Oryzias latipes: one gene and its partner. The protein of the gene in region 1 purifies or fractionates together with the protein of each later gene. This does not show direct contact. Links are inferred from orthologs where the notes say so. Each region holds a gene or a part of one and is shown on either strand. Other genes may lie near its edges. The genes, in order: eif3e and eif3b.

Region 1 (3,816 bases):
AACTATTGGTAGCCTCTACTTCTCGCTCCTTGACGTGCCTTCATCTGACATCTGACAATGATTTCAGAAACCAGAAGAGTGGGAAAAGAAGAAAAGGGAACCTGTAAAGCCCAAACAGAACAATTTGGGTAGAGCTAAGCATCCCATTAGAAACACATGAGTTGAGCCATTTCAGGGTGGGGAGCAAACCAAAGTCACAAGAGCTTAAAAATAAAAACCCAATTCTTGTTTTTGCAGCCATCTTCATCATAAAAAAGACGAGTGAAACTCTTTTAAAATCTGTGTTCATCACAGAGACGTAACCTGTGTACGTTAACCACTGAAAAAAAAATGTCTTTGCTACCTTCTTGTCAAGCTTTGATGTGAATAATAGATGCTTCTGGACCTCAACCAAGAAACACTTAGGACAATGTTCATCCTTGCAGGCCATTACAGGAAATCCATTGAAAAGGGGCTGTTAAACATTCTGGAAACCACCCGACTCTTTAATCCTTCAAGACCGCAACTTTAGCTCTGGTGCTGACACTCTTTGAACCAGCGCAACTCTTCGACTTTTTACACAATTAACATATTTCCAACAGAACCGGAAGCTGCTTTTCTTTGCTTAAGAATCATTGCTTTACGTTAATTGTGTAAAGGTCAAAGAGTTATGACGGCCTGATGAAGAAAAAGACGAGGTTCATAGCAGTTTATGGTCTCTAATGGATCTGCTACAAGTAAGCCTAAAATATGAGAGGCAAGAGCAATATTTACCAATTTGTGTAAGATACTGTAAAATATGATGTCTTTACCAATGAAGCTGTTTTTAATCTCTTTTAAATAAACCTAAAAACACAAAAACAATCCAGAAATGGGTTTGTTACAACAGGTTTTCTGCCCTCAGTAGTAAAAGTCACCACATTGACTCTGTTCAGCTTTGTCCTTCACAAACAAAAAGAACCTTTATCCTGCACTACTCGAGTTCTATTTTCACATCAGGGATCAGGGTTACATTTGACCTTTACAGACCACAACTGAAATAAGCAGAAACAAGTGTCTGCGGAGACTTTTGCTTAGAAAGCTCTGACTGTTAACTACTGGCCTCATGGGTCAACGACAAGCCAAGCAGAAGCTGACTAAAGCCTGAGTCATACAGGAGACCGTCCTATCTGCCAGTGCGATACAAGACACAAACTGCGGCTGTTCTGTCTTCATCTGACCCACAGGGACAAAGGCACGGGGCCAGAGAAATCACCATTACTACCATGTTTACCACAAAGTTCACTGTTAAAACTTCAAAGACATGACCCACAAAACAGATGTTCTCAAAGGAGCTTGACTTTGTTAGGGAAAGGAACAATAAACAAGACCATCTACTTCTGATTGGACGGGAGTTAAACGGCAGAACGAAAAGTGAAAAGACTACTCACCGACTCGCATTCTCTGAGCTTCTTCTGGGCACTGTCAAAGTCAAAATTCACGTACAGACACTCCACAAACTCAGTGATTGGATCTTTGTAGGTGTAAGACTCCTAAAGAAACAAAAACAGTTTTTTTTCAGGGATGTCTCCATGTATCCCAAATCATGTAAGTCACTACTGAAACAAAAAGAAGTTCTGGACTAATTGCAGCAAAACAGAAGTTTTTTCCCCCTTTTTTCCCCTTTACAAAGTAAAAAAAAGAAAAGAAAAGACAGTGTTTTGTTTTAATTAAATTGCCAACAATAATAACACAGACAACATGACAAATGATTTGCACACTGGCTACAAAGGCTAATTCAAATAGGCTGAGTGAAAACACTCTGTGATCTTCAGACAGTTTCATCAAAGCGGAAAGAGTGACTTCCTCGCCAACCCAAGGTCACCAGGAGGAGAACACAGAGTCCATCTTTTAGTCATTCATTTTAGTAAAAAGCAACAAGCTTTGATCTCTGAAGTCCCTCTGTCACTGGTCAACAAGTAATGGGCATAGAACATAAAAGTCAGGTGGTTCCCCGCCATTCATCAGAAGTAATTGTTCAGAGACGTTGCCAGCAAGGCTGAAGCTCTAAGATACACCTGCTGTGCTTGACAGGAAGGGCTGGACGCTTCCTGTTCCTTCAGACCCTAATAAACTCAGACTATTTCAGCACCTGATGTTTGAAAAAGAAAGTCTGTTACCTGCTGTATGACCTTCACTAAATCCTTCAGAACCTGCCGGCGCTTACGCACATCCTTGTTTGTGATGACCGCTGTGGTTAGGTAACGCAAGATGTGGGGGCACATTGTCTGGATAGCATTGAGATATCTGAAAATGGGCAGACGAAAAAGTATTCACTTAATAGAGCAATGTTAGCAAAGACATGATCTTTACAAAGACACATATATAACATTCTGGCTGCCTGTCAGGGCCCTGGCATTTGGGATTGGGGAAAATACTTTGCAGCTAAACAGATACATTTTCCAGCAAGACCTTCATCTCTGCAGCTTAAAGCTTTCTCTTTCATTAGTCCTGTGAGAAAGGGGGGAGGAAGAGGAAACCCTGGCAAGGGGATATAGCTCTTGAGCAGGGACCTGCCCGGTAGCAGAAACTTAATCCATGAGGGACTGATGCTCCAACCACAGGTCAACTTGCTAAAGTCTGAAAACAAGAAACACAATGCTGTTACAGGCGGATTCTAATCCCACACTTATTTCAGAAAGAGGATCCTGTACAAACATGCAACGCCAGCACGCAAAATCCACTTTACTTGTCAGGATGGTCGTAAATGTACATTACCTGCGTCACCAGAGCGGTTCTTTAAATATGTGACCACATCTGATCAGAAATAAGGAAGTGGGCCCCTTAAGGTCTCTCAAAGCTATGGCCAGAGGAACACATGGCGCTCAAAGCAACCGTCCTGACAACAGTTTAATTAGCCGGATCAATTAGAGGGACAGGGTCCTGTGGTAGCTGTGATGTTGAGTCTAAAAACAGCAGTGGGCTACATGGCAAAGCCCGTCACCGGTCTCCTTTTAGGAGAGCTCCCTCCTTCTCTTTGTAGTTGTTTGACTTTTAAGGAAGACCACAATGCTTCATGCTGTGTTCCTGATTAACTTACACCTACACACTACTGGGGCCTCAAATAAGGGATCCGGCGGGAGTCCCCGCATCATGTGCAGTTAGACGGTTTTCACTGTAGCCCTGCTTCAATGGGATTTGCTCAGAAATATCGAATTTTTCTCTGAGTATAAGTCAGAGTTTTTCACATAGTTTGGCCAAGGGGTGCGACTTATAAGTGTTTTTTTTTACAAATACATATGCGCCTGTGTTTTACAAATACATATGCGCCTGTGTTTGTTATTTTCCTATCAACAACAACTAGAGGGCACTGCAGTTGATGGAGCAGTATTTGCTACTGACAGGAACCCAGAACAAGAAGCTCCGTTCATTCTTAAGGCCCGTACACACCGGGACGAATTTTCGCCAGCCGTTATTCGCCAGCGGTTTTCAACACGTTTTTTGTGTTCACACCCAGGCGAATTTCGCTGACGATGAGCCGAGCGAACATGCAATTTCATTCCCTGACATTAGATGGCGCTTAATGTAAAACAGAAATACTCCTGTACACAAGGTGGCGCTGCGCAACTTTACGCTTCTTAAAGTCGCTTTTCACTCAGAAGAAGAGAGCAAGTATTTACGTGCTTGTCAGAATCATACAAAGAAAACATGAATATTTCAAGCATCAGTTGCTCCAGCTCCAGTTCCAGCGATGAAGAAATGATTGTTCTGTTGAATGATGAAAGACGTCGGAAAAGACGTCGATTTTGGGAACATCCCATAGTTACGAGAAGAGAAGAACATGGGGAGTTTTATCGA
Region 2 (4,539 bases), on another chromosome or scaffold:
GAGCTCTCGCAGTGGAAGCCTCTCTTCTTCTGTCCAGTCAGAATGTCCCAGATGATGATGGCCTGAGGGTCCTCCTTAGTGTCCATCAAGGGACTGAAGGTCACAACATACCTGCACATTGGAAGCACACGTGAACTTTGGGAAAACTCAGGTGTTTCATTTTAAATGATCCCCAACACAGAGATGAGCTCTGCTCCTCCTCAGAATGAGCTTTTTCGGGATGAAACCTAAAGAAGGCACGTTTTGGATTACCTCTCACATGGTGAGAAGTCGATGAGGGACACGCCCTGGTGGCTGAATCTCTGAATCTGCTTGAACTTCTCACCGCCCCACAATGCAATGCCACGTTGGTGAAAGGTGGCCAGGTAGGTGCCTTTAGGAGACCATCGAACGTAGGTCTCTGTCCAACGCTGCATCCCAACAGAAAGAAAATCTATTACATTTCTCATACTATTCTGAATAAACATGGGTATTAAGAACCACTTATTTGGCTACGTCCAATTTAACGGTAATATAAAAAGTAACTTGCCGCCCTTTCTTCAGCCAGAATTGGCTCTTTGGCGTCATTTGCGAAAATGGCAGTCCTCTCTCCAGCCTCGTAGATCACACTGTACTGGTCACGACAGTCTGGATCCTCTATCCAGTGACGCATATTCCCCTTTGGTCAAATGAACATTTTAGAATCCTGCCGTCACATCGCAATTCTTAGGGAAACAAAACTGATAAATTACACTTAACCAAAAGTCACACTCACAAAGTCTTTGAAGGGCTGCTTTGCTGGAGGGTCCCACTCATCACTGATGTTCATGTACCTGAAAAAAAAAGGCAGGAATTACTCACTTAAATACATCACATAATTTGCAGGAACTGAAGTGCTGTGATCCTGCAAACATACTTGTCAAAGTCAGTGAAGAGGTTGACCCTGAATGTATGCTGTTTGTCAAGTTTGTATCCATCCGCATTTTTCACCGCCTCCAAGGCCTGGTTAGGAGAGGAATATTCCAAGAAGATGTATCTACGCGGACAAAAAAAAAAGTTACTGCATGTAAGCACATCAACTCCAAGTCTGCAACTACAGCTACATAAGAGAACGGAGGCCTTTACCCTTTGGTCGTGCCATCAGCTTCGGGATAAAATTCAGTTGTGATCTTGCCGAACTTGGAGAAGATCTTGTGAATGACGTTCTTGAGTTTCTCCAGCCGCTCCGGCCCCACCTGAGGAACGTTGTCCACCACCACCACAGAGTCTATGCCGTCCGTTTCCTGAGGCTTCTCACGCAAGATGTCTTCAAGGAGCTCTGGAAAGTGAAGAGCGCAGAGTTGAGAGCATTTTAAAAAATGAAACTTTTTACAGTGTTTTATAGTTTACTTTAATACAAATTACTTTAAAATATATATATTAATGATTTCATATCACTAGGAATGTCTTTTACAAGTTTAGGTTAACAGAAAATGCTTCATTTTGTCCCTCGATTGTGGCTCTGTGGCTTTGAAGAACAATTTGAATAAATAATAGACTTGATATTTAAGTGTTTTCATTTATTATTAGATTTTTAAACTGTGGTAATCTTACATAAATAAAAATTCACTTATACATTTTTTAACCAATGGTGATATTAAACTAAATCAACAGCCACTGGAAGGTTTACCATTCCCCTAAATAGCAAACATCAGAAAACAAACCAAAATAATGGCAAAGGGTTGGATCTATTGTCAGAGTGGTTTATAATTGGAATTAGTTTAAACTCATATTCTTACCTTTTGTTTAGTTGCTGTTCAAAGACAAAGTTCTTTCAGTACATTTGCAGCAAGATCTTACTTTATACCGGATGCATTTTATTTTGAAAGGAATTTGTATGCGCTGCTGTCAAAAGGTATATAATAGTAATGTAACACTGTTATAATTATATTATTCCAATTTTTAAAGCTACTTTTTATGAATGAATGGCTTGATGGCCACAAAAAATGTGATTTTTTTCTTCTTTTTCTTTTAACATAAACAGAAAATAAACAGAAAAGTGAGGCTCTCACTGGGTTTTGGTGTAAAATAAACTGGACCATCATGTGCTTCTTTCAGCACTAAAGCTTGCAGACCCCTGATCTATCTGCTTCACTTCTTCCTTTAAGAGGTAGGTTCTTTGGTTAATCTGTAAATTACTTCTGCAAATGTAATCACCCAAGTTCAGTTTAAATAATCCTCCAGACAATTTTAAGTAGTCTAGATTATATGAAATCCATTTGGATGCTGTGTCTCTATGTGGTTAAAAAAAAATGTGAGCTTTGTTAATGCCATGAAGTATATTGTGAAATAACAAAAGAGCATATTTAATTCAAACCTTTCAAAATGTCACAACAAGACAAGAGTAGTGACGTAAATTCATCAATTTATATATTTGTCAAATTGACTTAAAAGACAACTAAAGATGCTAATTTCCCCTTTAACTCATCGACTTAAAAACTGACGGTATAGCATCTGGTATGATGACTGAATGAACGGCGTTCATGATCATGATAGACAAGAAAACCGATTGTTCGTGTGTTTCTTGGTTGATAAAACCTTCCAATTAACTCTGTCGAGACTAATACGGCTTAACTAGTCCATTCTTTCGCCTAAAGAAAATGTCAAACTGACAGCATCTGCAAATATGTCAAAAGCAACGGTCCGTCTAGCTTTTTAGCTAGCAGTTAGCAATAGGCCTACAGCCGGCGCTTTTCCTGCTAGCGCTTACCCTCATCCTCGACATCATCTACGAAGTCCTCCGGGTCGCTGAAGGAAGGCTCCTCCTCCTCCTCATACTCTGGGTCGTCCACCATATCAACTGTATTTCGCATTTAATGGGACTGCGGTTCTGAAAAACCTTTACAGAGGCGCAAAATCCCGGAAAATGAGAGGCTAACAACGAACGACCGGTGAGGCACCATGTGCGAAAATGGACGAAGAGGCGGAAACGTGACGCCGGAAGCGGGTCAGAGGCGCGTTTACGGACCATCGTGAAATCGCAAAGTTGTAAAACAAATGGAGGAGCGACAACAACGAATGCTCAATTAGATTTACTGCATCGAGATGAATACAGATCGAACGGTAGTAGAAGCTACTTTTGCTAGCAACATAAGGGGAGTCACCTGCCAGTAAATTGTTGAAAACTACTTCTTTTTTAGAGTTACTCGCAATATGTCTCAAATACTGACTACAAAATTGCCACATGAAAGTAATTCACTTTTTATCCATTTACTTTTATAAAGGTTTTTTGGTTTAGCTATATGATTTTCGCTTTTGATGAATTTCAATATCGACGATTCGAAGGTTTGAGTTAGTTATCGTGACGTGAGCTCCAAACTTGGTGTATGTTGGGTTTTCCCGGCCATTCTTCAGTATGGATGGAGACTGTGTGTCTCTCCTGCCGCGGGTCTGTGACGTTCTGGCGGCCCCGAGAAGCTCTTTGCCCGATGATACAAGCCTGGAAAAACTGCTGGACTGGTTCACAACATTCAGCAAATCGGGTTAGTTCTGGGAGCTGTTCCCCATACTACGAGTTCTTCCCAGCCAGTCTGGCGCAGTTTTCTTTGTTTATGTGAATTCAATTTGGCCGGGATATAATTTGCACATAAATTCCTGGAAATATTTGAAATTTAAAATTGAAGTACATTTAATAATTATTTATGAAGAGAAGTAGAAGTTCAGGTCCCATTAAAATCATCTTTTGATCAGTTGTAAAATACTTCCCAGTGGTCTTTCAATTATGATTATGCCTTTTTTGGTAACAATTTTAAAGGAAACTGTTATTTTTTTAAGGACATAGTTTCTGCAAAGCAGCAAAACCTCTTAGAAATTTGCATCTGAGTTGGCGGAAGTAAGCTTCTGCTGATTTCCCATCATCCCTTTGTTAACACTCTCTTCTGGTGGCTTACAGCCCCTCACAACCCCAACCTAACATTATCTGTGAAACAATAATAGCGAGCAATATTAAAGCTATCCATTTCCAGGCATACAATTTTGATCCAGATAGACATGGATTTCTTTGTCTGCATGTGGATGCATCAATGGAGCAGAGCAGGGAGCTTGTAGCCCACCCATCTCACTTACTGTGTTTCAAAAGATAGCTTTCTCTAACGACATTTTGTGTGCTCCTGATTCACAACGATTTGAATAAAGATATACTCAAAAAATGCCATTTTAGTTTTCTTTTGTTTATATATGTGTTCCATCATAAGAAAATTACTACAACAACACGTTAAAAAACCCCAAAACACTATTTTCACTGGAGTGGGTCTTGAATGTTTCTGTTATCACACTCTTTGACTGTGTCTCCTCCTGTTGAAGGCGTGTCTCTGCTGGAGGTCAACCCATGTCTGCAGGGCTTCATATCAACTGTAGTTTCCAGCAGAGCTGCAGAGTCCAGCATCATCTCCTTTGCCCTCAAACTCACTGGTTTAGTGGCTGCTGCTGAGGATGGCTTCAGAGCTCTCCAGGTAGGCCTCATATCTCCTGCATTTCACCAACATCACACAGCCATCCACAACACTGATAATGATGATGATG

The links.
Region 2: the proteins of eif3e (region 1) and eif3b purify together in Homo sapiens (affinity purification with mass spectrometry; 9 studies listed by BioGRID and IntAct, counting the BioPlex papers as one, with this or other methods). This does not show direct contact. The link is inferred for Oryzias latipes from reciprocal best matches to the Homo sapiens genes EIF3E and EIF3B.

The regions. Positions count from the first base shown.
Region 1 is NC_019874.2:3,403,623-3,407,438, forward strand, and holds part of eif3e (eukaryotic translation initiation factor 3 subunit E), read right to left. Parts: intron 2,266-3,816; coding exon 2,139-2,265; intron 1,512-2,138; coding exon 1,410-1,511; intron 1-1,409. UniProt on the Homo sapiens protein: Component of the eukaryotic translation initiation factor 3 (eIF-3) complex, which is required for several steps in the initiation of protein synthesis.
Region 2 is NC_019859.2:21,375,138-21,379,676, reverse strand, and holds the start of eif3b (eukaryotic translation initiation factor 3 subunit B), read right to left. Parts: upstream 2,832-4,539; coding exon 2,729-2,831; intron 1,298-2,728; coding exon 1,105-1,297; intron 1,016-1,104; coding exon 896-1,015; intron 813-895; coding exon 755-812; intron 659-754; coding exon 530-658; intron 411-529; coding exon 253-410; intron 112-252; coding exon 1-111. Other genes in the region: brat1 (BRCA1-associated ATM activator 1), read left to right, coding at 3,374-3,500, 4,321-4,469.